Alligator mississippiensis: one gene and its partners. The main gene of each other region encodes a partner of the protein of the gene in region 4 in a complex. Links are inferred from orthologs where the notes say so. Each region holds a gene or a part of one and is shown on either strand. Other genes may lie near its edges.

Region 1 (7,897 bases), on a different chromosome or scaffold from region 4:
AGTTTTCTTGAGTTCTTCCAGATGGAAAGAAAATGCATAAAGTGGGAGAAGAAAGGGATACAAGAAGGAACAGATATTCTTGGTCACATGTTCCAGGTGCAACAGTTAATTCTCTGACAGCATGACTTGGTTCCCTGCCTCTTGCCCAATTCATCTTTGATCAGGCATCAAAGGTGCAAAACCCTCATGTAAGTGAACCAGATATGGTCTGCTTTGGGCCTCCCTCTTACTGCCACCTTAATTTTTTTTTTATATATAAATAAAACAGTCTCCCTCATATATATGAGGGAGAGGGAGACTGTTTTAGATAATTCATTGGATCTTTTCTGTCAAGGTTTAGGAGTCTTGGGGTAGGGCACTTGCTTCCACCAACACCTGCTAACTGGCTGCCTCGCCTCAGGCTTTGTTCCTGATGAAAGCTGATTACAGGACAGTTTTGATTTACTGCTGTGCAGTTTGTTTCCTGCTGTCTGATCTCTGCTGTGCCTGTTCTAGCAAAATAAATTGGAGATCAGTTCTGTCCTTCTGGGAGCAGCTTTTAGTTTAGTTGTGTTTAATGTCAGCAGCATCCTGGTGTACTAGGACTCAACCCATCTCCCTGGGCAAAAATTTTGAGATTCCCTTTGGCATCAAGCCTGCCACCCATTCAGCTTACACTGCAATTTCTCCATTATTTCAGCCAATCTAGCTATATCTAGAAGTGGATAACCAGGCAGTTGTGAATTAGTTGTCTTATTTCTCTTCAGAACAACTTCTGATAACATTTGATGCATCTACACAAGACGCTAAATGCGCAATTGACTAATTCTACTGCACATTAGTGCATCGCGGCAAAAGCCGTGCTAATGCACAGTAAAATTAGTCTACTAAGCATTACCATCACTAAAAAGGTGTGTGGTGGCACTACTGTATAGTTACACTAGTTGCTGCACATCAAGTTAGTACCTGTTATTACAAGTACTGAATTTAATGCACAGTAACTATGGTGCCTTAATGCACGGTAGACATGCCCATTCCCAGTTAGCTTAAGCCCAATGGGATGTAGATAAAATTAGCAAGAGGTCTAGAAAACAACCTTGTCAGTGAAATTTAACTTTGTTACCACTGTGTTCAAAAGGTTTGTTTAATCTGAAGTGGAAACCAGAAACAGTATAACACACAAATCCTACTACTCAGTGCTTAGTTACTTACTCCTTTTGAATACTCTTTTAAGTAACATCATTCCATGTACTCACAAAAGCCCTTTTCAACAAATGTTCAGCAGTAATGCTTCTGAGCATTTCAAGGAAGGGAGAAAGTATTTGTATTTCAGTACCACTTAGAAGCTCCTGTCTCAAACCAGGGCTTCATTGATTTAAGTGGTGTCTACATTGGGTATTTTTCTGTAGGCAGTAATACTGGTAGCAGAAGTTTGTTGTTCACAAGATCTGTGATAGAACTGAAAAGTGAAGGAGAGGTAGCAGAAAGCAGTTGCATAGAGTTAATATGTTAAAAGATATTTATTTTAAGCTGATTTCAAACTGAATAACTTCCGATAACATAAAAGCAAGTTATTTTTTCAATGGATTTAAATTCTTCATGGGGGGGGGGGAAAATTCAATGAATTATGTATGAAAGTTTTCTTTGTTGAAAGTCTCCTCTGAACATGCAGTACTAAATATTTTTCCATATCTAAAAACCAATAGGATTAGGGCTGTAAATGGAAGTTTAATCATTTGGAGTAGGGGTGCTCAGTCTCTGGCCCATGAGTCAGACATGGCCCACGGAGCCATCATATCTGGCCCACAGAGCTGTCCATGGGGTGGGAAGTTTGGTGGCAGGGAAGCAGTGGCCATTAATACAGTCACCCTCACCTTGCCAAATTCCCAATCCCCAAACTGTGCACTGCACTGCACTTCACAGCCAATCCACGACACCTCTTCCACCTTCCACATCTGGATTGGTGGATTGGGTCGGGACCATACTCTTTCCCCCTCCCCCCCCCCCCTTTGCAGAGCTGGTTTGGGGCTAAACCACACCCTTCCCATGTCCTCTCCTGCCTGCTGGGTCAAGCCCTGCCCGGTTTACTCATGGGGCTGGGATGGGGCCTCCCCCACACCGTGAAGCCCCCCTTTTCTCTATGGGGCCAAGCAACACTCTCCTCCTGTGTTGCAGGATTATAACTGGGCTGCCCCCTACCCCTTCCACATGGCTGGATGGTGTCCACTGCACCAGTCCCAGTGCTGGATCACTGGCAGGATCCAGGCCATGAACAGACACAGGGCATTATTCTTGCTGGACTCCCACAAATGTGATCCTTTAATAATTATATCAAAGGTTTTCCCAATAATAGAGATAAGGCTAACTGGCCTATAGTTACCTGGATCCTCCTTCCTCCCTTTCTTGAAAATAGAGGCCACATTTTCCCTTTTCTAATCCTGTGGGACCTGACGAGCATCATGAGCGCTCAAGCAATCGTGCCAGTACTGCTATGACACTGGCCAATTCCTTCAGCTCCCTGGGATGATCATCTGGGCCTGCTGACTTAAACACATCTAGCCCCTCCAAGTGTCCCTTCACTAAGTCAGCACTAACAGTTAGTGGGCTGGTTTCCCTCCTGTGCTCATCTACAATCCGGTTGGGAGATATGTCCTGATTCATGGTCAGGAATACAGATGCAAAAAACTCATTGAAAAGCTCAGCCTTGTCCCTCCTATCTGTCACTAATTGCCCTAGTCTGCTCTGTAGGGGTCCTATGTTATCCTGCGCCGCCTTTTTGCTCCCTATATACCTGTAGAAGGACTTTTTGTTGTCTTTAATGTTTGTCACCAGCCTGAGTTCCATTGCTGCTTTGGCCTTTCTCACTGCCTCCCTGCAAGTGAGAGCCAAGGAGGTATACTCCTTGGTAGCTGCCCCCTGCTTCCATAGCCTGTATGCCCCTTTCTTTGCCCCTAGGCTTTCCTGGATTTCCCTGTTCAGCCAAGAGGGTTTCTTGGCCCCTTTGCCCCCTTTCATGCGCAATGGGATTGTCTCCTGCATTTGAAGGATCGTTCCCTTTAGGAATAACCACCCTTCCTGGACTCCCATCTCATCAATGCCCCTGATCATCAGTACCTTGCTAACTAATTTTCTGAGCTTATTGAAGTTGGTTTTTCTGAAGTCTAGCACTTCTGTTCTGCTGGTTATCTTTCTTGAGCCAGCTTTCCCTTAAAATGAGTAGGAGATGAAGCTGGCCAAAACTGCCATGGACTTGAATGAACATGATGCTTGGAATTACAGATTTGAATCTCAGTAAACTTTAGCAAAAATGGCTGATTATTTACCTTTCATGCTCTTACTAATACAGTGCCACCTAGCGTTTGTGAAGCAGATGAAAAATGTCACTGGTCCAGATTTTTGGATTGTTTCAGGTACCTAAATTCCTTCCTTTTCCTCCAGTTTTTGTTCATAAACTCAGCCATGGCTTTCATAATACAATTTTAGCTGTGAAACTTTATTATCAGAAAACCAAAAAAAGATGCGTGCATAGTTTATATTTTCTCTCTCAAGAGCCACAGCAGAAGTCTTAACTGTTCTTGACTTCCTGTAATGTCTATTGTGTGAATATTTCTTCAGTACAGAAGACCGAGAGGAGCTCATTTTTTCTCTTATCTCTGTCATCTGTGTTGAAAGACACTACTGATTTATAACACAGTCACGTCTCTACAAACAGATCCATTTGTTCATTTCACGCTGCACGGCAGGTACTGGTGCCTTTAAATCACTCTCCAGAAACCGTCTGACTTATCAGGTAGGCTGCCATGTTCAGAGACACAGACCCTTCCGTAGGGTGCTGTGGAGAGCGGTGCAGCGCGCAGGCGTGCTGAGTAAGACAGAACAAATGAAGTGATATTAATAAAAAGGACAAGGAAAGGTAGAAGAAGGGGATCTACTGCGACCGTGCAAGGGAGATAGGATCTACCCACGCTCAGCGTTGGCCCAAGGGAGGCCCACGTGACCCCGCTTCGGTTCCCTCCCGCGCTCATTTGCATACAGCCTTCCCGCCCCCCGCGGCGGCGGCGGCGCGCGCAGGCCGGAGGGGGTGACGTCACAAGGCCGTGGAAGACGCGGAGTCAGGCACCGGAACTCCGCCCTACTGGCGGGGGTGGGGACCAGCTGCGAGAGCATGCCGGGAGTGACAATCCTATGTCGGGTTTGGGCGCAGGGAAGAGGGTCTGGGCAGCCGTGGAAAACGGAGTGCGCCTGCGTGAAGGGGGGGACTGCTGATTGGTAGAAGCACCCTGCCCTGGCCAATGGGAGGGCGAGGCGGGGGCGGGGCTCAACGCCGGGGGGTTAGGATTCGAATGCGCGTCGGGAAGCCCCTGGCCGGGCGCAGGCGCAGTGCGAGGCGCGGGGCGCTGCCCCCTAGCGCCGGGGCTCGTGGCGGAGGGGAGATGCCGGGCGAGGAGGAGGAGGAGGCCGAAGCGGGGCCTGGGGGGCCTGCGGCCACCTCCCCCGCGCCATGCCCGTCACCGCCGGCCGAGGAGTGGGACACGCGGCAGCGCTACGAGGAGCTCTGCGGCAGCCTCAACATGGACGAGCGCGCGCGCGCAGAGGCCTGGCTCAGCTACCAGGGCATGAGGCGCAACTACACCCTGGAGGTGCGCGGCGGCCGCGCGGGGCGGGGCCCGGCTGAGGGGCAGGGGAGGGTTTCCGGGCCCCTCCCTCCCCTCCTCTCGGGCCTGAGGGGCGGCGGCGCCCCGTGGCCCTGCCTTTGGTCCCGTCAGAAGTGCGCGGAGAGGGCTCCGCTGCGGCCTGTCGCTGCATGTCCCGCTCGGCCGCGCCTCGTGCCGGCGGAAGGGTTTTGTGGCCGGGTGTAACGACGTGTGGGACCAGAATCAGACCCCCGCCCCCCGGAAGGGTAGCTGGGGGATGAGAGGAGCAGCCCCTGCAGGGGTGCCATAACCAGACCTGGACCCTCAGCTTCTTTCAGGCAGCCTAAAATCCAGGCACGATGCATAGCCTGGGCCCCGAGCGCCATCTGCTGCGGGGTCTCTGTCCTGGCTGCGCCTGTGGTCCCAGCGTCTGAGATCCTCCAGGGCTCCCATCGTGGGTGCCTGCTGCTTGCCAGTGCAGCGGGAACCCAGGATCAGGCTCCGCCTACACCCGCATGATTGGATCTAAGCGTGATCCCGTAATTGCACCTTTTGCCACGCATGTGTGGCATGGCAGGTGAAATTGTGTGGATCGCGTTGGGTTCAATCATGCCGTTACCCCCAGGTGTAGAGAGAACCAGATATTTTTATATCCATTTTGTGTGGTAGCACCTCACAGCTGGCAGGGTGTTCTGCGCTGCATAATTTCCTAGCATGGCTCTAAAGCGATGTAGTCATCTTGTATGGGTGACAGAACAGACTGACCAAAACTATATTCCTTCAGAAAACACTAGGCTCTCTTCTCAGAGCTAGGTAGTGTCTTGGATCTATTGCCTTTGTGACTGACTGAGTTACAAAGTACTGTAGAAGTTTGAAACTTGACCAAGTAGGAATTTCTTAATTCCTTAGTTTCTAATTGTTGATTTTTATTGCAATCAACCTAGACAGTCCAACCTGAAAGTATTAATCCACAGTTCTTCTGGTAGAAAAAAAAGGAACGTACCCGTGGTGGTAATACTTAATATAGTTAAATTCAGTGCATGTCTGCGTGCTTGTGCACACATGTGTATTGTTTATCTAAATAGACAATCATTCCATTGTATAATATGGGTAGAAGAGAAGATAGTTCAGGGAATTATATCCTGGCTAGAAACAGCTATTTTATAATGATCGTGTGCTGGAAAAAAAATATACAGGCATCCCCCGCTTAGTGCCATTAATTGGTTCCAGAAAAACTGAGTGTTAAGCGGAACTGCGCTAAGCGAAACCACTTTCTCCATAGAAATAAATGTAAATAGAAATTTATTGGTTACTGCCTGCCCCACTGCCGCCTCTCCCCCGCCCACCTGCTGACACTCCAGCCCCACATACCAGCCCGGGCCCATGCTCCTGCCTCCTTGCTGGTCTTGGCCCTGGGCACTAGCACAGGTCCCACGCTCATGCCTGCCCCCACCCCCCTTGCTTGCCCACTGGCCTCTCTGGCCTCATGTGCCGCCCTGCTCTGGGCACCGGACCCTGCCGCCGGGTACCAATGCGGGCCCTGCACTCCTGCTGCCCCACTCCGGGCACAGGTCCCCACTGGCCTTGGCTCCAAGCAGTGGTGCGGGCCCCAGGCCACTCACCTCTGTCGCTCCCCACCCCCCTGCTGAACCTCCGATGGAGTGCCATCATGGGCACTGGTGCTCTTGCCGCCCTGTTTTGGGTGCAGGCTTCCACTGGCCCTGGCACGGGCCCCACACACCAGCACAGGTTCCACCCCAACCCCAGGTGCAGACCCCTGCCAGCCCAGGCACCAGCTTGGGTCCCACGCTCCTCCCCTCTTTTGCAGCCACTTGTCTCCACCCACCACACCTGCTCCTGCACCATGTGCCTGGGCCCAGGCTTCTGCCATCCCACCCTGAGCCCTCATGCCTGCCTACGCACTCACTGCCACTCACTCACCTCCCACTCACTGTTGTCGCTTCCACTTCTCCCTGCCCTCCTGCCTGCTGAAACTCCGATTCCACTGAGTGCTATAGCGAAACTGGCTGAGCGCTCAGTGGAATTGGGAATCAATTCCAAGTGAGCACTATAGGAAAATAGTGCTAACTAAAACCGCATTAAGCAGGGGTTGCCTGTAATAGGAATACGCTGGAATTTTGGCTTAAATCTGAAGTGTAAAAAAAAAAAAAAAAAGTTAAATGGCTCTTCAAGTCATTTTGATGTTACCCAATTTGAACCTGTATCTTGTATAGCTGAAATATGGTTCATTTCGGTAGACCTTTTAAATACTTAACACCCATTCCCTTTAAATGTACCGGGCATTTGTTGTAGCTAAAGTAAATGAAAGTCTTCCAAATGTATGTTTTAGAGACTTAATATTTAATTTTGCAGGGAAATGAACTACATTGGCTGGCATGTGCTTTATATGTGGCTTGCAGAAAAGCAGTCCCAACCGTGAGCAAAGGGACTGTCGAAGGAAACTACGTATCTTTAACTAGAATCTTGCGCTGCTCAGAACAGAGGTAACCTCCTCCCCTCCCCCCCCATGTGTTTGCACTTGTAAAATATAAAAAAAACTTTATTTCAGCTACAGCCATTGAGAATGAAGGCATCTAGACATTGAAAATGAAGAAAAATAATAATAATTTTAACTCTTAATACCTGCTTTTGGACACAAAGTATTTAAATGTCAGTGCCTTTGTAACATCACTTAACACTATTATGAATTAGTTTATCATAATGAAACATTCCTAGTATTTTGAATTGGGATATTTAATGTTGATTGTTAAAAGTGATTAAAAAGTAGCATAACAAGTTTCTCAAACTCCAAGACTGGCCTTTCTAAAGTCAGAAGTAGAATAAGTGGACTTATAAAGAATAATTATAGATGCATGTTTTTCATGATGAGTGAAACTTGAACTTGCCTTTCTAAACCCAAAGGAATACAGACGGACCTATAAAGAGTTGTTAGTTATATGTTTTTCTTGAGATGAGGTGAAATGTGAGCTGTCTGTTCAAAAGCTAATACTTATACCTTGAGTTAAATACTAGATATCAACAACCAAATTAAAGCAAGAGTTTGATTTTATGTAGTCCTAGTCACATAAAACTATTTTCTTGAACTTAACATGCAAACATGTACCATACAACCATTATTTTCAAAACATTATATTGGAGGAAGATTTCCTCCTCCACAGTGTTAAAAGTGTTACATCCTTTGGAGGATGGACATTATCTTAATGTTTTATTTATTAAATATATGTATTGCCTTTTCTAACAAGGCCTTGTTAAACCCCTTGTCC
Region 2 (8,651 bases), about 170 Mb from region 4:
GGGTGACTAATTTCCATGTGTCACATGAAATAAAATTGCAAAAACTGCACTTTTGTAAAATAGTTGCAAGTTGTCTAAACACAGAAACATAACAATTGTTTGAGGCCTTCTTGTGCGTACAATGAGTTCAGCAGGCTGTGATATATTTTAGTGGTACCTTTTCTGTCATTGTTCTCTACATTATTTTGCATTTTATAATGTGTTAACAACATACTTCAGAATGTATAGTTGTGTCTCCAGAATAAATGTGAACAGCCAATGCATGGCTTATTATTTGGTTGCCTATAAAATGACTAGTATTCTGCTGTTAAATAATCCTATTTTTTGAATGTAAAAGATGCTTGGTATTTGACAAGTGCCTTTATTTGCATACCTTATGCTTTCAAAATTGGCCTGTACATACATTCCAAATGTGGGAGGCATGGTTAAATTTAAGTATGATGTGCATTTGTATTTGCAGGCATGTTCAGTTTCAGGATCAGACTTAGAAGTCAAACTGAAGAGTGGTCCAGAAAAGTTCTTAATTTACTTATCTCATTAGCCTTTCAACCTTTTCTTAATCTATTGTGCATCTATGAATGTGAACTGTAGAAGTTACATTTTGATTTTTAATTTTCAGGTCTACCTCCTTATCTTGAGTGTGACTACGCTAAGTCTTTTACTTGCACCTGCACTGTGGAGAGCTGGAATTATGAAATGTGTACCAAGGCCAGAAAGACGCTTAAGTACCTGACAAGACTTTTAATAATTTAAAAAGAAAAAAGTCTTCGCAGAGATTCTCCTCGTAGCTCATTGTATCTCTATGCAGTTAGAAAGCAAGAGGGTTTGGAATATTTATCTAAACATGCACTTGGTTATGAGCCTTATACTGACACTACATAAAAAAAATGTTTGGTATACTGATGATTGCACAGCTTTTACAAAATACACTGTCATATTAGAATCTGCTAGAATAACTTTTTTGTGTTTGATCCAATCAGTTATACAGAGTAGAAAATATTTTTAAATACTGTATCATGCAAATCACCCTGAATATTTTGCCTTGATGTGCCTTTTTATTACATTGATTTGCATCTTGTACTGTTCATTCATAAAAGTCTTGTTTAAAAAAATCAAGTTATTTTTATGGTGCCTATGGTACCTTCTTAATGTAACTCTTGAGCAATTTAAGCGTGTAATATTTAAGAGTTAATATGCTGGTTTTGCATTGGTTGCAAAACATTTTCAGTGGTGTGTAAAGCCTAGACATTTACACAAAAATAAGGTTTAGCAGCTCTGGCATAAAGCTTTAAGTGCTAAAATGCATATTCCAAAATGATGCAGCCAGCATTATACATTCATACTCTGATTTTTATGATATTTTTTAAAACATTTTATGTATTTTATTTGTATTGTAACTTTATTTGTTCTGGCGTCTTCTATTTATTGACAATATTTCTGACCTAAAGGTTGATTTAGGGGTGACCTGACTTCTAATTTATGTTTCAAGACTAATTCCAACTGTCAACACTTTCAATTATTGATTTACTGTTTTACTGATTGTTTATACTTTGTATTCATTGAGACCAAAATAAAAGTGTACGTATGGAAAACCTAACTCTGAGAACTTGAACTAGACATGGAAACATTTAAATTACTTACTAAAAGTTGTTGAGATTGGATGTCAATGTTGATTCTACTTTACAAATTATTTTGGTTAAATTATTTTGAACAACACAGGAAGTGACAACTCTGGGTATGCATTGAAAACTGGCATAATTACATTGCATCAATATTGGATCAACTTGAGTGTCTTAAACACCAATGTTTTGAATGTGTTATATGAGTCTGGATTTTTTTTTTTAGTCTGTTATAGAGTAAACTTTGTAAGAGCCCTTTCTTTAAATGTCGTAGAATGTAGTCTGCTCAGAGAAACTAAAGTGATTCATCTTGGGACTTTTTATCTGCTGTGTCCTGTTTTTATTACACTACAAAGATGTATTTAATAACTGTAAAGACATATGTACAGTAGTAACATTTTCAATCAAGTATTGTACTGTCATATGAAACTGCCATTTTTGTGAGTCAACTATAGAAAGATGCATGTTGCATATGTACATTAGAATCTAACATGCCAATTATTAAATCTACAAGAATCCACTATCTAAGCAAATAGTATTCAGATAATAAACTTTCTTTTAATAGAAAGAAACTTTGAATCTGCTTTATCATTTTTATTTCAGCATCGGACATTCAGTTTACAAAAGGAATTCATCAGCCTGTTTACTTGTATAGCAGTCAAAATAACTTACTGTTTCACACTTAAATGAAGCTCTAATTTATGCCAGGATATTGGTAGATTTTCCAAATGTCCTGTTTAAAAAAAAGGGGGGGGGGGCAGGAACCCAGAATAAAATATGAATCTGCTATGGAGAACTTTTCCTTATGCTATTGAGTAGATTATGTCAAAGAAGAGCTATCTTTTATTCATTTTCTTTTGAAATTAAGACAGCCACATGAAAGGAGAGTGGTATTTTGGTCATTAGCTGGCTTGAAACACGGATGTGCACATGTGCTATATTTGGACAGATGTTGCTGGTCCAGATATTGAATGTAATTTGCATAAATGGGACCGACTCTTGATTCAGTCAGATGTCCTGAGAAGTTTTAAGAATTTGAGAGAGAGATCCTTCCCTGTGGAGCAGTCACTGTTTTTGCCCCTCTTTTGGCATTAGATAAAATGCCTTATTCTAAATCTGTATTGCAATATTTATTACTCGGATGTGCTGAGGAAGACCCTTCAGTGCAGGATGATAGGAGATCATCACATTTATCTTTGGAACAACTGAGTTCCTGTTGCATGGCAGAAGGCATTTCAGTGCTGAAGGCCCTGCACTTAAATGGAACAGATATCCCATTTCTTCTCACATATCTTCTGATATGAGTGAGGCTGAGGCCAAGTCTAGTGAGAGATGACACCATGAAAATAAGCTATCTTGTGCACAATTCTGTCATGCTTCCATAGCCTGAACTTGAGTGACCTATTCTCTTTTGAAAATACACTTGAAAGAAAATTAAACAGCAGAGCATAAGAAAAACACTGACCAACACTACTATCATGAAGAAAAGCCAGATTAAAGTGCAGGGGTAAATGCTGTAGTATTGAAGGAAAAAGATACTCAGTGGTATATATATCTGAAGGCAGTCATTAACCCCCCAGAATGTGCTGGAACACTTGTGGGGGTTGTAAACAAGGGTTGTGTACGCACTCTTGCACCAGTAAGAGGAAAAACAAGTGCTGTACCTTTTAATTTAACCACTTCAGTAGTACTTTAAACCAGGGGTCGGCAACCCCCAGCACAGGTGCCAGAGTGTGGCACATGAAGGCATTTTGCTTGGTACATATGCCTTGGGGCATATGGTAAGGAAAGGACAGGGGCTGTGCTGCCACAAGTATCACAGGTCCCTTGCAGCTCCTTTGCTATCCGCCCCGGCACATCAACACCTTACAAGATGAGGTTGTGGCTGCTTTTGGCACTCTGTGAAAAAACATTGCTGGTTCTTGCTTTAGACAGAAAGGCAGTAAGTGGCCTGGAAGGTCTGACTATGATGGTGAGACAGGAGGCAGTCTTTATGAAGAAGAGATAGAGTCTAAATGAGATGTTTTTCTTCTGTCCCTAGTTAATCTTCTTTCAGAGGTAGGGGTGGAAACATGGGGGTACAGCATTTAGCAGAAGGCTCATTACCCCTCTGATCCTCAAAAGGACATGGAAGAATTGGAGACGGTCTGAAGAAGGGCAACAGGGCTGATTAGCACTATGGAGGGGTTTCCACAGGAGACTAAAAAGGCTATGGCTGTTCAGTTTAGAAAAGGGATGCTTAAGCAGGGACATGAGAAGGGTTTACAAAATACTAAACTGTGAAGAGAAAGTAACTAGGGAGTTATTACTCACAACACAAGAATTAGGGGTCACAAAATGAAATTAGTTAACAAGGCAGTTCTTTTTCAAGCCACGTGCCAAGGATGTGGATAAATTGGAGAGTCCAGCAGAGGGCAATGAAAACGGTTCAGGGTCAGGGGCTGAGGGAACTGGGCTTATTTAGCCTAGAAAAGAGAAGTCTGAAGCAGCCTTCAACTACCTGAAGGGGGGTTTGAAAGAGGATGGAGCTAGACTGTTCTCAGTGGTGGCAGATGACAGAACAAGGACCAATGGTCTCAAGTTGCAGCAAGGGAAGTTTAGGTTACATATTAGGAAGAATTTTCTCACTAGGTGGGTAGTAAAGTAGTGGAACAGGTTACCCAGAGAGGTTGTAGACACTCAACCCTTTAAGGTTTTTAAGACCCATCTAGACAAAGCCTTGGCTGGGATGATCTGGTTGGGGTGGTCCTGCTTAAGCAGAGGGTTGGACTAGATGCCCTCCTGAAGTCCCTTCCAACCCTAATTTTCTCTGATTCTATGATACACACTTCTAAGCAGTACTTTTGTACCTACTTGTAAGGTAGGCAGGTACCAAGTACAAGCTATGCATAAAAATTCTCCATATCTAATCTAAACTCCCCTTGCTGCAGCTTGAGATCATTGCTCTGCCACCATTGAGAACAGTTTAGCTCCATCCTCTTTCAACCCCCTCTTCAGGTAGGTGAAGGCTGCTCTCAAATCCCGCTTCAGTTTTCTCCAGACTAAACAAACCCAGTTCCCTTAGCCTCTCCTCAGAAGTCGTGTGCCCCAGCCCCCAATCCATTTTCGTTGCCTTCTGCTGGACTTTCCAATTTATCCACATCCTTGACACCAGGCTTGAAAAAGAACTGCCTTGTGTTAACTTGTTCCATGCTGTGACCCCTAATTCTTGAGCTGAGAATTTAGGATTCCAAGAGGGATGGGGCAGCGGGAGCTAGCGAGCAGGGGAGAGAGGAGCGACCTGGACCTGGAAGCTGCACCTAATACAGGAGAGTGGAGAAAATCCTGGCCACAGACAGACCCGCTCTCTGCCACCGGGCAAGATGGGCCTCGGCTCCAGCACCCAGCCCGTGGCAGCTCTTCTGAGGTCTGGTGCTGACAGCAAGGCAGCCAGCCCTCGCTTAAAAGAACACCCGTGGGAGTGGGAGAGAGGAGAAAAGCAGTGCGAGAGCTTTCCCTAGTACCACGCCGACCTCCCTCCCCACACCGCCGTCGTGGGGGCGGGGCGCTGCTGCCCCGCCCCCTCGCGTGAGCCCACGTGCCGCAGGCCAACAGCCTCCCGCCGCGCCGCTCTCGCGCCCATGCTTCCCGCGCGGCCGCCGCGGGGGGCGGGGCGAGACAGGAAGAGTCGGAAGGCGCGAAAAGCTCGCGCATGCGCGTTTCCCTCCCCCCTCCCCACGTCAGGGGCGGAGGATGCCCCGGGCTCCCCGCGTCTGGCCGGGCGAGGCACGTTCTCCCCCGTGACGTCAGCGCGCAGCGTCACGCCGGGGGGACGCACAAAAGTGTAAGTTTCAATTTTTTTTTTTTTTTTTATCCTCCTTCCTGCCAACGGTAGGGGCGGGGGGAGGGGGCGCGATCCCCCTCGGGCGGTGCGTGCGGGGCCCCGCCCCCAGCCCAGCCCGGCCCCTCCCCCTCCCCCCGGCCACCCCGCGCAGGGCGCCCTCGGCGGGGAGCTGGGGGGCAGAGTGAGCAGGTGCGCGAGGCGGGGGGTGGGCAACGGGCAACGGTCGCTGCTGCTGCTGCTGCTGGGGGGGGAGGGACTGCCCCGAGGGCACGTGGGTAGGGGGCTCCCGCGCGTGTCCCCGCGCCCGGCCCGGCCCCGGCGGCTTGCAGAGGCCCCGAGCCGCCAGCGGAACCGCCCGGCAGCCGCTCCTCGCTGCGAGGCTGGGACGAGGGTGGGGGTGCCGCGCTGGGGTCGGCCCCTGAGGCCTAGGGCCTGCGACTGCCGCCGTGACAGGTTGGCGGAGGGCTGTGTGGGGGAGGGGCGCGTGTGCGGTCGTTGGGGGGGGGGTTGGAGCGGGGGTAGCTGGACAGCACCCGGCCCTGCCCCACCTGCCTGCCTGTCTGGCTGCAATACCCCGAGGGCTGTTGGGAGTCATGGGGGGGAGGTCGCCCCTGGGGCTGAGTGGGTTGCAAAGGGCTAAGCCGGGGAGGGGGAAGGGGGGCAGTGTCCAAAGTGGGGGTGGGGTGGGAGGGAGACGGCCCCATCAGAGGGGTTGGCCATGCTGTGAGGGGACCAGGGCTGTTCTCAGCGTCCCAGCACCACTTCGCTAAGTAGAGAAATCACCTGTGTGGTCCTGTGCCAATAGTGCTGCCAAAACTTTTCCCACCTCCTAGCTAAAGCTGGTGTTTTTCTCTCTCTTTCTCTTCTTTTTTAGGCCGTTGGACTCTTGCCTCCTTTCGCTTCAGCAGGCCCCGACGTTGGTTTCAAGGCACTGGTAACATGGCAAAAGATGTGAGTGCGCGGGAGCAGCCCGTTTCCACGTGTCTGGTGATGCATGGGAACGAAGCGGGCTGAGCATTGTGCCCATGGCATCGGTGTCGGTGGGAGTGCATTTTCCGCACCGCGCTGGGTGGGGGCTGCGCTGTCTTTGTTGCTCCTGGAGGAAGCTCGGGATAGAATTTTTATGAGCTCTAGAACCGGGGCGGAGGGAGTTTAAGATTTGAAAAGACCTACAGCCATTTGTTCAGTGCAGCATAACAAGAACCACCATCTTGCTGAAAAGCATTTGTGATGCTGGCATTTTGTGTGCTTTTGTTGGGGATTTGAAAACCTGATTTTTCATTATTGTGCCAGGTTTTTTTAACAAACAAACAAGTGAATTAATTTATTATTAGCATTCAAAGTTGTCAGCCAGTTACCTCTGAGTGATACAGAGGGACAGATGAGTATCACTGCCATGCCTTGACTCGACCCTATTTAAGAGCCACATCATATTTGAGGTAGTTCCTATGTAAGCTGTTCAGTCTCCATGCCTTCGTTCTTTCACCTTTCTTCTGAAACTACCAAAATGATGCCACTTAGGGCCATTAGGATTCAGGCTTCGGGGGATTTCCCCGTAGGCTGCACAATTGAAGCTGTTCAACCTAAAGGTGAGTCATAATGAAAAGGGACTATCTTTTAAACTGTTTCTCTCCTTTTCCACTTTTAATGTCCTTCTGTACAATAAGAATATTCATCTTCTGCACTCTTAATTTAAATTATTACCTTATTTTATTATCATTGGACTTCCTTATTGGCAAGATACCAAGAAGTTTAAATATTCTCATTTGTATATCAAGATGTGTATCCTAAAGATTTAAAAATGTAGAGAACATGCATAGCTGTTTGGGTTTTTTTAATTAAAACTGATTTTGATCTAATTAATTGAGGATGATGTGAACTGTTGCAATCCTCGAAGTGGCAAGGATTTCTGTAAAATGTGGTTTAAGAAAAACCTTAAGACTGACTTAATGAATGAGGAGACAACCAACCAAAATACACAGTTGCTGAGAGCTTGCCAGGAAAAGATAAGGGTAGCAAAATGTGTTACAGATAGCTAAAGAAGCTCAGGGGATAAAAAGGAAGAAGGCCTGCTATTAAATGAGGGTGAAATTAAGGAGTTTGAAATTACTGAAATATTGAAGTTATTTTTGTTTTTAAATCTATCCTTTCAAAAAAAATAAAAGAACTTACACAATTAATGCATATGAGGATAATTTGAGAGGGAGAAACAGCATAAAATATAATGTGTTTAGGAAGAGAAGATTGGCAGGACCATAATAGATTTTTAGATATGTACAAGTTCATTTATAAAGAAGGTGATTGATTATTCTCTCTGTTCACAGGGGTAGGGGAAAATAATTAGTTTAATTTACTGCAAAGATGATTTAAGTTGGGTATTAGGAAACCCTTTCTAAGGATAAGGGTACTTAAAGCAGTGAAGCAGGCTACCAAAGGAGGTTGTGAATCTTTCTTCCTTTGGAACTTTGTCTGTTATAAAACCCCTGTTAGGAATAAACTAAGCATACTTAATCCTGCCTTGGAGTAGAAAGTTGGACTGTATGATCTCTTTCAGTCCCTTTATAGCCCTATATTTTTGTGGTTCCTAAGAGTCTGTAAGGTGAGTTTATATTTTGCTAATCAAGTTGCAATGATGCAGACCATAAGACTGAGGTTGGCAATGTTTTTTGGCAGCAGGGCCAAAATGACCCAGCTCAGGTCTGAGGCGCTAGGATAGGACCGAGCTGTCTAGGGCACAGTGCAGCACAGGCAGAACTCCATCAAAACTCCTGACCACAATATGGGTCAGTCAATGCTCCCCTCCACTGAAGCCCTTGGTAGCTGACTCTGCCATGACACAGGCAGAGAGCTCTCTCTGCTGAATGCCACCAAAGCCACGGTTCTACAGGCCAGATTCATGGCTCAGCAAGCTGCAAGTTGCTAACCCCTGGTGTAAGGCATTGGGTTCATTGGCAAATTTGGTGTATCCAAGCCAGTTTAGTAATACAAAACTCAGGTACTAGTTAGTATTGTTTACTTTTTTTAATCTTCATAAAGGAAAAAAAAATTGAGATTCACTGTCCAAAGCCTAACTTCTGTCCTTAGTAAATAACAGGATGAGTCACAAGAGAAAAAGTATCAATATATTTCTAGGTTCACATTTTACGAAGACTTTTGTGTGTGTGTAAGGTTGCACATAGTCCCATGGAACCTCTGTGGAACTGCATATA
Region 3 (7,530 bases), on a different chromosome or scaffold from region 4:
CTTCTTCACAGTTAGAGTGGCCAAGGTCTGGAACGAGCTCCCAAGGGAGGTGGTGCTCTCCCCTACCCTGGGGGTCTTCAAGAGGAGGTTAGATAAGCATCTAGCTGGGGTCATCTAGACCCAGCACTCTTTCCTGCCTATGCAGGGGTTCGGACTCGATGGTCTATTGAGGTCCCTTCCGACCCTAACATCTATGAATCTATAAGGTCCATGTGACACGACAGTTAGAATACCAGGTGCTTGCGGCCCTATCCAAAGTAACACTGTCACTATAATAACCATAGGTGGAGCTTCAACAGTGGGAACAGTTAGGGGAGGAGGGGCGATGAGAGTACATGCAGATAGGCCCTGAGAGAAACTCACTCAGGGTGAGGCTTTTTCCTTCCATAATTTTCTAACACTGCCAAAGCATTTCTACCACTCACTTCCACTGGATACTGTTCTTGGATTTCTTCTCAATGAGCCCAATGCCCTCCAGTACGTTGGTGATGTCATAGATTCGCCGTTTCTGCCGCACTGCCAAGGTATCTGCTGCCTGTGGAAAAATCAAAGATGGACAATCGGTTCCAGACTCCTTCTTATGCTCCATCCTTTCGCCAGGCCTGGACATCATACCAGTACAGATCAGGCTCTATGATTCTGGTGGCATCTGTCTCCCACCTCAAGTTGCAAATTAGATTGTGTGTCAAGGGACATGAAACCAGTCACTGATCTACTCTCTGACTGCTAATTATATCTTCCCTGCAATTCAGTCTTCAACCCAAATCCCCTATTAATCACAAACTAAATCCTAACCATCTCCCCAATCTCATCTGGTTCTGATGCAGACTGGACAACCTCCTGACAGCAGAGTCATACTAAGAGAGAGTAGGATTAAATGCTCAATTCTACAGGAACTTTGTGAGGTGACCTTCCAATTTAATGTACACTCTACTGGAATGGCAAAACCTTGAGGTTAAGAGGAGGAAACAGGGAGGTGAAAAAGCTGGAGGAAGAAAACACTGACACTAATCCTGCACTGTCAGGAACAGGTCTGGATATTCCAACAGGTCTTTTCTATCTAAATGTCACAAGTCTTGGTATAAAGTGCCAATACCTCTCCTTCATATAAGTTACTAGTATCTCTTAAATGAAGGTTGCTCAACCAATATTACAAAACGCCATCCCTTGGCCCTCAAAATTTCAGCCACCATGCCTCACTTTTTTTTTTTTTTTGAGGAAAAGGAAGGTTGTGAGGAGGGGACTCATGTAGTACTTGATGTCTCCAGATTTGTTTAGCACACTTCTGAGGCAGTGTCTCACCCCTCAAACCTAGGACCCAGTCTCCTCACAAAACTCTAATTAGCAGAACTGATTTGTTAATAAGGTCTGCTCACACACAAAACACATATTCTCTTCCATTCTCTCAACAAACCTCTGGATGCCCATCAATTTGCTCCAGTTCCCATCCAAAATAATCCTGCAAAAATGGGACTGAAATTGGTGTCACACTAGCACAGAAGTTACAGATTTGCAACAACAAAACTGGCACCAACACTCTAGGTGATACTATACATGCACAGGTCACTGAAGAGTTTTCATGTCGAGTCAGCTCTCCATGGCAGTGCCAATCATTAGTTCAAGTAATGCTGACAAACAAGAGTCCCATTTGCAAGCCATTTTTTAGACAAAGCAAGCATACCTTTTTTTGACAAAATCCAAATGACTTTGCTTTGTATGCAATAGCAAGAAGTGGATTCTATGGGTCCTTTCCACTCCTGTATTTCTATAATGCCTCTTGTATCTGACTGGATCTATATGAAATGGATCACCAGCAGGAATACAGATCCACACACACAACATGAGCATAAAATACACGTGTAAACACATTTTCAAGTGTGGACAAGGCTTGGGTTTAAACATTGGCTATAGTACAGAGTCCACGCTGCTTTCTTTAAAAAACAATGATCTCCAGTCAACACCTAGGCCAATTCTCTTCTCCCTGAGCCACCACAAATGCCACAGAGCACAAGGTGAAAATGATTTGCCTATAGTTTATGGAAGTGATAGGTTTGGCCCCGTCTGAATGGCTGTTTTAGCTCCGAGGACCAGAAAACAATAAAGAACAATACTTTTCTCTCAAGGGCTCTGAACAATATATTACATCACTCTATTTTCATTTCTTCTGTGTGCAAGAGATCACTAGGGGAAGACAACCAGGATTTGGGCTGTGGTATGAAAGTGATATAGAATACAACTACATCTGATTCACGGTATTATCTGTGTTCAAGGCACTCAGCTTTCATGCTCTCTCGCCAAGACTACAGCTTGAAGGAAACCAAGATGACTGAACATGAACCAACACTGACTGAGATAGTGATGCAGGGTTGGAGGAAGCAGTCAACACAGCAGAGATGATACCTGCCCTCTCTGACTGAGGTCTGTCCTAAACTCAGGAGTTCTGCTGCATCTGTAGCCACTCTCAGACCCGAAATAAATTACTTTTCTCTGAATACAGCAAGCCAACTGCAGCTTTTCCAGATGCACTTTCCATTTCAGACACTCCTTCATGGGATCTTAAGAAGCTGCCAAGCCTCCCAGATGGCAGAGATCACACCTGCTACTTACAGCACCGACTGCAGCACAATAAGATACCGGCAAGACTCACCCCAGTGCCCACAGTGCCGCTGCCCAGACAAGAAGCGCCAGCAGGAGAAGCAGTTCTCAAGACTGAGCGCTCTGCATTAGCTCTCTGAACAGCGACGTAACCAGGCAGCTGGATGCACTTACCCGTGGCCACTGTGCTGGGTACAGGGCCTCACACCTATGCTCTGGGAGAGGGAAGACAGGCAGCTATCCGCAGCCCCCCACCTCCCTCCCTCCCTGCAGCAGCTCAATGAAGTAGCTGCCAAAGGCAAAGATGGCAGACCTCAGCGAGGCAGACGTGCACCTTACAGGCCAGCAGACGACGGCAGAGAGAGCCCACCAGCTCCTGTGCCTGGCGCTGGCCCAGGGGCCGCCCCGCAGGTGTGAAGTGGAGCGAGACTGGGCGGGGCCAGCGCGGAGGAAACGCAGCGGGCGCTGCAGCACGAGCCGAGGCTGCCGCCGTCCCCCAGCCCGGCCGCGGCTCCCCTGCGCGGCCGCTGCCCCCGCCCCCGCCCCCGGCCCGGCCCCGTCGCCAGGCGCCGCGCGGGCGCTGGCACTGAGCGGCCCCGGGACACCCCCGCCAGCCGGCCCGGCCCGGCCCGGCCCGGCCCGGCCCGGCCCCGCACCAGCTTGAGGTCGAGCACGCCGTCCTTGGCCTCCTGCAGCAGCGACACGAACTTGGTGGTGAGCAGCCCCAGGCTCTTCTCGTGCCGGCTCGGGGCGCCCCCCGGGGGCTGCGGCCCGGCCTCCGCCATCTCCCCGGCCCGGCGGCCCCGCGCCGCTTCCGCTTCCGGCCGCCGGGCACGACGGGAAACGCCGGCCGGGGGGAGCGGGGCCGGGGGCCGGGCCCAGCCCCGCGCCTCGGGGGCCTCCCGGGCAGGTGGGCGCTCCCCCCCCCCGTGTTGTGCAGACGTGTCTCCGCGCGCCCAGGGCAGGCCCAGCACTGCCTCGCTGGTGCCACGCGGCTGCGCGCCTGGCGGGAGGGTCGTGGCTGGCGGCGGCGGCGGCCGGCCTGTGCGGTGCGCGCTCGCCGCCTCGGCTCGTGGCAACTGCCGGCCTCGGGGGCGCCGGCGGCACTTGGCAGTGCGCGGAGCGGCAGGGCAGGGGAGGGCGCAGCCTCGTCTTGAGTCACAGTCGTCCTTTCTGAGACCGGCCCGTCCCGTCCCGTCCCGGTAGCTTGGGGGCGAATGGCACCCCAGCGCTTTGTCCCCATGAAAAATGCAGCCAGGAGGCAGGTGGGTCTGGATCAACATCGTGGTGGGTTGGCTTATGTCCTTTGGCACAAGCCCTAAATATACAACAGCTACAAACATAAAATCTGAGCTTTAGTTTTCTTTTGGAAATTTTGCATATTTTTTCCTTTTCTGTATGTGTTACATGAAGCATCTCTCACAAATTCATGGGAAAGGTACAATTTCCAAGAGCTACATTCTGATTTATATAACAGTACAGCACAAAACCAATGCATCGCCCAGTAAACAGACTAGAAACTGGCTCACTGATAGGCCTCAGAAATGAACTGTGGGGTGGCCATCAAGGGACCTCAAGAATAGAGGACAGTTTCATTTAGTGCATAGGGATTTTTTTAAAACTAAATTTAGTGCTAATTCATAATAACCACATCTATAGAAGCTACCAAAAAGTTAAATGTTCGAGTGTTCAGTTTGTGTTTTTTTGACACAATGTGATGATATACAGCTCCGTTTCCTGGGCTGCTGACATCGATATCACAGGGTACAGGATGTGTGATGTTCACCCTTTCTGCTTTTCGCTATGAAATCACATTCTTTTGACCATTCTGAATTGAAGGTCGTCTTGGACATTTTGAATTAAGGGTGATGTCAAACTGATTTTGAAGACAAACATTTAACGGCAGGAAGCAACAGCTGTAACGTAAGGACGTCATTAGGAAGCATGACAAATAGGATCTTTGTTGGCATTCTCAGGTCCGATACAAACACGGGATTGATTAAATGTCAAACATATTGACGAATGAAGACAAGCCATCTTAAGTTCAATTGTGGGTTGAAAGGTTGAGTGTCTCCAGAGAAAAATAGAGGACATCAAGGCATCTGGTTTCATATCACTAGAGGACAGAGAACAGAGTAGCAGAAAACCAGACTGTCCTCTATAAAACCGGATGAATGGCTACCCTAGTTAAAGGGGAATGGGTGATCTGGCTTTAGTCTACCAGTAATCAGTATTTTCAGTAATGATTTAGAAGAAAGTCTGTAATCATGGAGTATTGAAGCTTGTAGGTGACATGGAGGAGCGTGCAGTGGTTAATACTGATGAGGAGAGGCCACAAAGGTCAGCACAAAGAAATCTGCTGATATAGAGCTGTCAGAATGGGATTTTTATGACTTTTCAATGCCAGCAAAAGCTTTAGTGTAGATGCAGGTGTATTAGCATACAAGTGCTTTTGCTGGTATGGATTTCACTCAAGGAACTAGTATAGGCTATACCAGTGGTGCTCAACCTTTTCCCCCTGTTAGTCGGATGGGCAGCGTCCTGTCCACCTGCAGGCTGGATCCCGCCAGTGGTCCTGATCTGGCACCAGGGTGGGTGGGTGCAGTGGGCACCATCCAGCCACGCGGAGGGGAGTTGGCGGGGGGGGGCAATGCAGCCACAACCTGGCCCTGAAGGGGAAAGAGGTATGGCTTGGCCCCATGAGGGGAGTGGGGTGGAAGGGTAGTGGCCCACCCCTAAACTGGTTTGGATGGGGAGGAGAGAGAGCATGGTCCAGTCCTGATCCAGATGTGGGGAAGGAGGCATGGCCCAGCAGCAACCAGCAGTGTAGGACTTGGGGTTTAGGAATTTGGTATGGGGAGGGTGACCATGTTAATGACCACTGCTTTCCTGGCACCAAATTTCCCACCCCATTGGGACTCCTGGGGGCAAGATATGATGGCTTGCAGGCTATATTTGGCCCATGGGTTGGAGATTGAGTAGCTTTGTAATGCATCTACATTTGCAACATGCTGTCATCTGATCCTTAATACTGATTTGCAAAAAAAGGCAATGAGATGGGGGCAGGAGGGACCCACACACTTTTTTGCATTAACTCTTTTTCAATTGGCCATGATGCTCTGGGCAAATGGGCTAACGCAATTCTTAGATGTATAAGCTGAAGGAAGGAGGTGGGATTAACTCTAGTTAAAAATAGGGTTCAAGTGAGCCACAACAATGATTGTTGAGTACTAGAACTTAGAAAACTCAGTGTATTTACTTGCCAAAGAAAGATGATGAAGAGGCAGCTTGATCTATAAGTACCTACATGAAGAAAGGCTTTCTGGTAGCAGAGAGCTCCTTAACCTAGCTAACAAAGGTAAAATGAAATCCAGTGACTTGTAGTGAAGCCAAATGAATTCAGAGTAAAAATACTGTATGCATTTTAATAGTATGAATGATTAATAACACATAATTATTTTAATAGATTAGAACTCTTTGCCAGGAATGTGCTAGGTTGTATATGACTTAAAAACTTCATTAAATGGACATTCATTGTCTTTATAAGGGACGTGTTTCAGCCATAGATTTGCAGGCTAGGTACACGAATTACAGAACAAAAAACCTTTACCTTTTGTTATACAGGAGATCAAACAAGATGGTTCTAGTGGTCCTTTCTGGTCTAACAACTCCTAGATCTGATTGGGTTTATATGTTTCAAATAAAATTGCACCTTAAAGTATGATAAACAAGCTTTGATGCCAAGTGAAAACTGTGAAAGCTTGTCCAGACCTACAAATGACATTTAAATGACCAAATTAAAACAACAGTGCATCTTGCACAAGAATGCAAGATTGTGACTGGGACCATGCAAAATAAAGCAATCCCATTTGATTTAATTTCTTGTGCTAGTTGCAAATGTACCCAATGTTTTATTATGCTAAACCACTCATAAATAACTGTATATTCCTATGTGACTATATCCTCCTTGCTGACACATTCTCCCTGGATTAAGGCATATTTGTCAGAACAGTTATTCAGTGTTTGTTTGGAGTTTTGCAAATGTCTCCATAAACCATCACCAACTTAGACTATTTTGGGTTCTGCCCTATTGTTAAAATAACTACCCAAAACACTGTTCTGTGATCAGTTCTACAAGGTATCTTGTTCAGTCAATCAAGACCCATCCTATTTGATTGAAGTGTAACCTCTGGACTGATCAAAAGTTTGGAAAAATAAGTTTCACAACTAGACGACCCAAAACAGGATCTGAGCAGTTAGTAATTGTAATGTGGTCCCTCCCTACCTGCTTTGTTTGAACTTTAATTTACTAACTATCAAGAAGGAATGCTTTGAAGCTATACAGTTAAATTGTATAAGAATGAAAGAGAGTTGCTGGCAAAAGTGTGCACTTCAGGAGAGAGAGAAAAATCTCTGCAACATTGTAATGTGCACCCAGCCCGATTGAACCCCCGGCCCAGCGCATTAGGCAGGACCCTGGGATACGTGGAGTCCAGATCCCAAGCAGCAGCAAAGAAGAGACCAGGATCCTGGTGTACACGGATGACCTGAACATCCTGTGCCACAATAAGTGGTCAGTAGAAAGAGCCCTGTGGCGCGCACAGGTTTATGAAGTGGTAGCAGGGACCAAGGTCAATGTAAGTAAAAGCATCTGTCTGGGTGTGGGAGAGCTTGGGGACCTAATGTCCCTGGGGGTCTCTGTCCCTCATGAGGGGGTCAAGATCCTTGGGGTGGAGTTCAACCCTGAGCTGAGTGGAAGGAAGGCATAGAAAAAGACAAAGGCCAAAGTTAAGCAGAGGTTGGGTCTGTGGCACATGCGCTGCCTCTCCATGGGGAGGCACCTGGCACTCATAAAGGCAGTGTTGCTACTGGTGCTTCTGTACACCGCAGTGGTCTTTCCCACTTCGAAGCATCTCACCCACAGAATCTAGAGAG
Region 4 (7,745 bases):
CCCTCCCCTGTGGACTGGCCTGCTGGGCTGGGGCATATGCGTTCATGCATGCAGGCCCCCAACCCAGCCTTAGATCAACTCAAAGAGGCCCCGAGATCTACCAGTGGATCAAGATACGCTGGTTAGGGAACACTGGATTACAGAATACTTTCTGTGTTCGTATCTATGTATGGCTGAATGTCCAAGAAGGGGTGGGTACAAATGTAATGTTTATATTCTACTACACATGTGGAAACATTCATCATGTGACAATTGGCTTGTATGCACATCTTTGCACAAATTAAACCAAAAGCTTGTTTCTGACGACTGAAAGTTAGTGCGTGTGTGTACGTAGTCTGTGTGGACATCCGCAAGAGAATGTATGCAACTCACAGGTGCATATTAAGCATACAGGCATGTTTGGTGAATATTGATGTACTGGGAAAGAGCCTCTTTCAGGTGTTGGCTCTATATTCTGTGAATGCATGAAGATGAACGTGTTGGGTGCATCTATGTGGGAACTTGCACATATACAGGAATGTGCCCATGTATGGGATGCATATCTGCAGATGCTGCATCTTCTGTCTGAGTATGGTATCCTCTACTTTGACTGGCTCCCTTTAGAAATAGGGCTGACCTTCTCTACCCTACCCCTTTGTTCATATATACCTCTATCATGTCCTAGTGTAGGTTTCATCTCTGTTAGCTGAACAATTCTAATTGTTTAAGATTTCTCCTCATATTAATTTTTCCATGCATCTAATTACTTTTATTGCCCCTCTAGATATTTTTACTTCCTTGGTATTTTTTCAAATAAAAGCAACAAGAATTTGAACCTCGTACAACAGTGACAGCATTACCGTGGAAGTTTATAATTGAATTATTTATATATGGTATTATTCTCAGCCTTGGGGTCATGACAGTTCTTCAGCAAGGGGTTGCACCATGCCCCCCTTGAAAAATCATGTGAATCACAGATTCTAAGTGCCATAGAAACTCGGTGCCATACTGGGTCAGACCAGTCCAGCCCACCTGAGCACCTGTGCCATGGTCCAAGTTTCACTGGATGGCATTCACTAGCTCCTTGGACTTGTTTGAGGACCGGCAAGCGCTGGCTGCTGTACTCTGATCAGTGTTCTCCCCTTGGAATACACACTATAAACCTGTGACTCATACTCTAGTCCATGTTCCACTTTAGTTGTCCTAAGTTATCAGTTGCTTTGCCTCTACTGGCCTCCCTGATTAATGGAGGCTTTGAGTTCCCTTGGTGGGCCCAGGCTAATGTTTCTCTGGGCATAACAAATAGACCTGTCTGTGACAGCACCAGGAGCAGCAAATGCTTTAGAGCAGGACTGTCCAACTGGTGGCCTGCGACCTGTGGGAGGGTAAATTGCAGCCCCTAGGCTCCCCCTGTCCAGTTAACTGTTCTGGATGCTACTGCGGCCAGGGTCTCCAGATTCCTCCTTCTTCTCTGGCCTTCACTTCCTCCTGCTGCCCCAGGGTGCAGGACAGCATGACTCAGAGCATCTGGCTGACAGCATGCCTTCAATGCTGAGGGAACATGCACAACAGGGGAGCATACAGCCAAAGACATTAGGGGCAGGGGGCCACCCACCTGCTTGTGCAAGCAATAGCAGCTGGGGACAAGAGAATATCTGTCCACTTATAGAGTGCAACAGGCAGGAAGCTGTCTGTCATAATGGTGCCAAGGGAGTTTGTAGCTAGGGAAGTTAGGGGAGGCCATGGCCCTTATGGTATGCAGCGTGGCCCCCAGCCAATAAGCTGGACAGCCCCGCTTTAGAGGGAGGACATATGAACAGTGTATATCTATCATGATCTCTCTATCATGCCTGCTCTGGCATCCACCATCATTGGGTTAGAGGTGCCAGAGGATACATCCCCAGCTCTTCTGTTTAAGATATTAATGGATCTGTAATCCATGAATTTGTCTAGTTCATTTCTGAAACTTTAAAAGCCAATATAAATGTTTGTGCATCATAATGCCTAGAAGTGATTTGAAAAAAAACAAAACAAAAATCAAACAAAAAAACCCAAACAAACCAATATTAAGTAGTTGTTTTCATTGGTTTGTAAAAAAAGAAAGTCGGGCCTCTCTTTCCTGCCTGGTTACCATTTATTTAGAGCCACCCATCTGCCAAAGCAGTTCAAGCAATTATGGGCACTGTGTCCTCCTTGCACTGCTCTGCACTGGTCTTAATGTACGGATTGGTTCCCCAGGTGCTTCATAGATGAGGGGCTGGAAGGGACCTCATGAGATCGAGTCCAGCCCCATCTGACATAGGCGGAAAGTCTGCTGGGGTCTTCTTCCGATGACATTACACTATTTCCCTTCAGGCCTTTTGCTTGTGACGAAGAGAAGTTTCCATCACAATCCTTATGCAACATTCCTGATGTCCTTTATGTGCTGCTCACTCCAACCTTACGCTCCTCCACCACATCGGCTACATTTTTGAGGTGTAACACCACTTTGTGTCATTTCTCAATCAACGAAGTCATTTTCCTTCCAGTCCTGCTTCTTTTTTGGTGGCGGCATCCACACACAGCACTGCCCACCTGGAGATGCCGACCTGCCTTTCAGTCTATTTTTGTTTGCTCAGGCTGCACCAAAAGTGGTGTCCGGTCAGCATGTGGTGCCCGCACCAATTTCTACACCTGGTCACCTGTACAGCAAAATGTCTATACAGACTAGAGGGTAGGGGAAAGAGGGTCTTAACTTTTTTCTTCTGAGGCTCAAGATCCCCCTTTGCAAAATGCCAGCTTATCTTACAATCTTCCCCTCCCCCTGAGGGCAGACAAACACCAGCATCACCCGACTGTGGCAAAGAGTCAGTGGAGCCTGCGCAGGTAGGGACACCCCACATCCTTAATGTGAACCTCTGGATTTGTCCCCAAATCACCCCCCAAACAAAACGAGCACAGCAGGGCACCCCACAGCACCGGGGAAAGGACCCCTGGGCACCCAGGGGTGCCACAGCCCTGGGTGCAGACAGGGCAGGGATGGGCACAGGAACGTAGCACGGGGGGGGAGGAGGCCGCGTCCAGCCCCGCTCACAGCAGCCCCAGCCCCCGCTGCCTCACCCCTGCCCGGCGGGGGCATCTGCGGTCCTGGTCCCCCGCCGCGCCGGGCGCTGTCAGGGCCCCGCAGGGCAGCGGGTCCCGGCCCCCCCCATGCCGCGGGCAGGGGCCAGGACAGGGGCAGGGGCAGGGGCAGCCCCGGCCAGAGGAGAGGGGAAGGGGAAGGGGAAGGGGACAGGCCGGAGCGGAGGGGAGCAGGCAGGGCCGGCGGCGAGGGGCCCAGGCAGGCACTCACTCTCGTCCGGCAGCTGATCGAGCTCCGCCATCTTGAACGAGCCGCGCCGCTTTTTCAAAGGCTGCCTGGCGCGGGGCATTGTGGGGCGGCGGCGGTAGGCGGGGCCTGCGCGCGGCGCTGAGCTGACTGGGGCGGCGGCGGCGGCGCGCGGGACGAGCGCGCGGGGCGGGGCCGGGCCCCCGGGCAGTGGTCTTCGGCTCCCCTGTGCTTCCCGTCTGTCCAGCGCGCGCTGAGGGAGCGGAGTGTACCGTTCGGGCCCGGGAGCCAGCCCCGGTCCGCTCCACACGGGCGCACATCCACGAGACCTCCACTCCTACACACACGACACCCCCCCCCCACCCACGAGCCCCCTACTCCTACACACATACCTGAGGCCCCCACTCTTAGAAAAACACCTATGGGACCCCCACTCACACACACACACACGGGACCCCCACTCCATACATGCTTAACCCATAGGACCCCCCCCACTCCTACATACACACCCCATGAGACCCTCCACTACCTACATGTGCACACCCATGAGACCCCTATTCCTACACACACCTCAGACCCCCACTTCCTTGCACACCCACTCCTATACACACATCTGAGACCCCCCACTTACCCATAGGACCCTTGCTGTTACACACACACCCACAAGACCCCCACTTCTATACAGGTATGCACCCACAAGACCCCCCACTCACACAAACACCCATGAGACCCCCGCTCCCTCCACACATACACCCACAAGACCCCGCTCCCTACACACAAACACACCCCCATGAGACCCTCACTCACACGCACCTGAGACCCCCACTCCTACACACGCCCACAAGACCCAAATTCACACACTAACAGTACATAACAAATAAGGATTATTATTACTAGGATGAGATTGGTAACAATGAGAATAACAACTATTAATAGTAATAATACTAAATAATAATAAAAAGTAAAGAGTGGTGATGAAAGAATAAAGCTCCAGTACATCTGTCATAAAGATTTTCCATTTCACAAGCCTTTCCCTCTAATAAACGAAGGGAACCAGTCAGCCAAGTCAGTTGCACTGAGGATCTCAATGGCTTGAGTGGAAAGGAAGCCTGGAAATTATTTCAGTCCGAGATGGTAAAACTGGCAGGGGTCTGTGTTCCCAAAGCCGCAGGGTGGCAGAAAGGCCTTGTAGGAAGGGACTTCAGCCCTAACTAAATGACAAGCTTACAAGTGCTGGAAGAAGAGAAGCTAGGAGACCAAGAAGCACAGGGTTAAAGTGAGAATCGCCCAAGTCAAGCAGAATTAGATTGACCGGAGTCAAATATAACAAAGAGCAAAACATTCTTCAATGACATAAAAGAGAAAAAGGAAAGTTTAGAGGGAGCCGCTAGGTCATGAGGATACACAGAAATTGAGGATGCTGTGTGCGTGAATCAAAGGCCAAAACAAAGTTAGATGTTCCTTCGATAAGGATGACCTTGTGGCAAAGGCAAGATAGATAAGAACGAGGGCATCAAAATGCAAATAACCTCAAATTAGATGGGAGCAAAAGTCAGAGTATAATGCAGGGGTAGGCAACCCCTGGTACACATGGTAGAATGTGGCACTCGAAGGCATTTTACTTGGCACGTGTGCCTCGGGGCCGACAGCGGGGAGCCGCAAGGGGCCTGATCCTTGTAGCAGGGAACCCCGGGCCCCTTCCCCCCTGTCCGTCTCAAAGTGCACATGCACCCACTGCCACCAACAAGCTGGGCCAGGGCTCTGTGGATCCCAGTGCAGGTGCTTGCAGTCTCCCTACCACCTGCTGCAAGCAGCCCAAACTCCATGGTTGGTGGCAGGGGCCTGCAGAGCGCAGGCTGGCTGTGGTAAGCAGCCAGGAGGCTGCAAGTGGCTGCATTAGGCTCTGCGGAGCCCCAGCCTGGATCACTGCTGGAGGCAGGTGCACACATGCCTTGGGGCAGATGGTGTGGAAGGGGCCCAAGGCAAGGGCTCCATGGCCACAACAAGGATCAGGCCCCTCGCAGTTCCCTGATGTCTGCCCCTGGCATGCCAACATCTTCCAAGACAAGGTTGTGGGGTTTTTTTACTCAAAATGTTGCTGATCCCTGGTTTAATGCATTCAAGCTGAGAAGACCTGGTAATTCCCAGAATTCTGAAAGAACTAGCCCATTAAATAATAGGTCCAGTAGAAAATTTTTGAATACGTCTACTAAGTTGGGTCTGGTACCATTTGATTAGAAAACAGCAAATATGGTACCTATAGTTGAAAGGAAATTTTAATTTGGGCAACTACTCTCCTATTAGTTTTAAAACAAATTTTAAGAGAAAGAGCAACCAAAGTGGATGGGAATGGAAAATAGGGTAAAATTCAACATGGGATTGCCAAAAATAGGTTATGTCAAAGTAACCTGACAGCTTTTTTTGATAACTGATTTTCTAGACAGATTAAATATATTTGATCTCATTTTATCTGTGCTTCAGTAAATGCTACAGTACTGCATGAAAAATTATTAGCGAAGCAGGAGAAAATAAGGATTAGGAGAAAAATTATGAGGTCAGCAAGGACCTAGATAAAGAAAACACTGGGTAACCCTAAGAAGGAAAATATCAGGCTGAAAGGAGTTTACCAATGGAGTTTCTAAAGGATCAATTTTGGGACTAATCTTGTTTGTATTTTAATTAATGATCCAGATATTTAAGTAAAAGTGTGGTGACTCCAAAGTGTAGGTTTCATAGTTTCATAGTTTCTAGGGTCAGAAGGGACCTGAACAGATCATCAAGTCCGACTCCCTGCCCTGGGCAGGAACGAGTGCTGGGATCATAATACCCCAGTGAGACATCTATCCAACCTCCTCTTGAAGACCCCCAAGGTAGGGAAGAGCACCACCTCCCTTGGGAGCCCATTCCAGAGCCTGGCAGCTCTAACCGTAAAGTAATGCCTCCTGATATCAAGCCTGAACCTGCTCCCAATCAATTTGTGGCCATTATTCCTTGTTAACCCAGGTGGTGCCCTGGGGAACAGAGCCTCACCTATTTTCTGCTGGTCCTCTCTGGTGAGTTATGGATAGCCACCAGATCCCATCTCAGTCTCCTCTTGTGGAGGCTGAATAGATTCAGGCCCTTTAGTCTATCTTCGTAGGGCCTGGCCTGCTGCCCCCACCCCCCCACGCGACCATGCAAGTGTCCTTCCTCTGGACCCTCTCAATACTAGCCACATCCTTCTTGAAGTGCAGCACCCAGAACTGGACACAGTACTCCAACTGCGGCCTGACCAACGCCACATAGAGAGGGAGGATCACCTCCCTGGACCTGCTTGTGATGCACCTGCAGATGCACGACAAGGTGCAGTTAGCCTTACTGATCGCTTCATTGCACTGGTGGCTGATGTCCATCCTGGAGTCAACAATGACTCCAAGTTCCCTTTCAGCCTCTGTGTTGACAAGAGGGGTGTTCCCCAGCCTACAGGTGTGTTTCTGGTTCCTTCTTCCTAGATGCAGCATCCTGAACTTGTCTGCGTTGAATTCCATCCTATTCTCATCCGCCCACCTCTGCAACCTGTCTAGATCTAGCTGGATTCTGTTCCTCCCCTCCAGTGTGCCCACTTCTCCCCACATCTTTGTGTCATCAATGAATTTGGACAGTGTGCTTTCCGTGTACACCTCCAAGTCACTGATAAAGATGTTGAATAGCACAGGCCTGAGGACTGAGCCCTGGGAAACTCAGGTCCAGAAGAGGACTAGAATATCTTACAGGAAGAACTGGATAACCTTGAGAATTGGAGTAACAGAAATGAAATACAATTCAGTAGTACAAAATGCAAGGTCACGTACTTGGGAACTAATAACAAAGTTCAGCTGGAAGCTAGGATCCTATCACTTGGGAACAACTGATGAGGACAACTTGGGTGTATTAGTTTGTCACAAAAATATTATGACCTGCCAATCTGATGCAACTATAAGGCAAATGCAATCCTAGAATGGATCGGTAAAGTTATTTCCAGTAGAGGTAAGGAAGCATTAGGGTTATTGTAAAAGAAACTAGGAAGATTTTGTCTGGAATATTCTACACAGTTCTGATTACCCATGTTCAAGAACGATGAATTCAAACTAGAACAGATGCAGAGAAGTGCTATTAGGATGATAAAGACAAGGGAGAGCATATTAGAGGAGACTAAGAGAGCTCAATTTGTTTGTCTAGCAGAACAAAGGCAGAAAAACTTGGAACACAAACAAGTGAGTATAAATTGGCAATGAATAAACCTAGGCTGAAATTAGAAGGTTCCTAAGAGTAGAGAGGTTTTGGAGCAGCTTCCAATCAGCCCCACCTCCCCCTGGCCCCCGGCACACATTTGAAAGATGGAAATTGGTAAATTTGTGGAGGGGACACCAACAGTTGACTGTGTGTGGCATCATCCATAGTAGACTAGTGAACTCTCCAGGAGTTCCCTTCCAGTATTTTA

What was found.
Region 1: LIN9 (region 4) and RBL2 share a complex: the UniProt entries of both Homo sapiens proteins name them as parts of the DREAM complex. The link is inferred for Alligator mississippiensis from reciprocal best matches to the Homo sapiens genes LIN9 and RBL2.
Region 2: LIN9 (region 4) and TFDP1 share a complex: the UniProt entries of both Homo sapiens proteins name them as parts of the DREAM complex. The link is inferred for Alligator mississippiensis from reciprocal best matches to the Homo sapiens genes LIN9 and TFDP1.
Region 3: LIN9 (region 4) and E2F4 share a complex: the UniProt entries of both Homo sapiens proteins name them as parts of the DREAM complex. The link is inferred for Alligator mississippiensis from reciprocal best matches to the Homo sapiens genes LIN9 and E2F4.

What each region holds. Positions count from the first base shown.
Region 1 is NC_081833.1:48,730,876-48,738,772, reverse strand, and holds the start of RBL2 (retinoblastoma-like protein 2), read left to right. Parts: upstream 1-4,334; 5' UTR 4,335-4,412; coding exon 4,413-4,619; intron 4,620-4,929; exon of another isoform or gene 4,930-5,134; intron 5,135-6,986; coding exon 6,987-7,117; intron 7,118-7,897. UniProt on the Homo sapiens protein: Key regulator of entry into cell division. Directly involved in heterochromatin formation by maintaining overall chromatin structure and, in particular, that of constitutive heterochromatin by stabilizing histone methylation.
Region 2 is NC_081824.1:351,499,040-351,507,690, reverse strand, and holds the start of TFDP1 (transcription factor Dp-1), read left to right. Parts: upstream 1-5,320; 5' UTR 5,321-5,442; intron 5,443-5,513; exon of another isoform or gene 5,514-5,631; intron 5,632-5,805; exon of another isoform or gene 5,806-5,895; intron 5,896-6,316; 5' UTR 6,317-6,381; coding exon 6,382-6,393; intron 6,394-6,936; exon of another isoform or gene 6,937-7,031; intron 7,032-8,651. Other genes in the region: TMCO3 (transmembrane and coiled-coil domain-containing protein 3), read left to right, coding at 620-733. UniProt on the Homo sapiens protein: Can stimulate E2F-dependent transcription.
Region 3 is NC_081833.1:31,514,584-31,522,113, reverse strand, and holds the start of E2F4 (transcription factor E2F4), read right to left. Parts: upstream 3,381-7,530; coding exon 3,252-3,380; intron 536-3,251; coding exon 426-535; intron 1-425. UniProt on the Homo sapiens protein: Transcription activator that binds DNA cooperatively with DP proteins through the E2 recognition site, 5'-TTTC[CG]CGC-3' found in the promoter region of a number of genes whose products are involved in cell cycle regulation or in DNA replication.
Region 4 is NC_081824.1:179,696,646-179,704,390, reverse strand, and holds the start of LIN9 (protein lin-9 homolog), read right to left. Parts: upstream 3,418-7,745; 5' UTR 3,390-3,417; coding exon 3,311-3,389; intron 1-3,310. UniProt on the Homo sapiens protein: Acts as a tumor suppressor. Inhibits DNA synthesis. Its ability to inhibit oncogenic transformation is mediated through its association with RB1. Plays a role in the expression of genes required for the G1/S transition.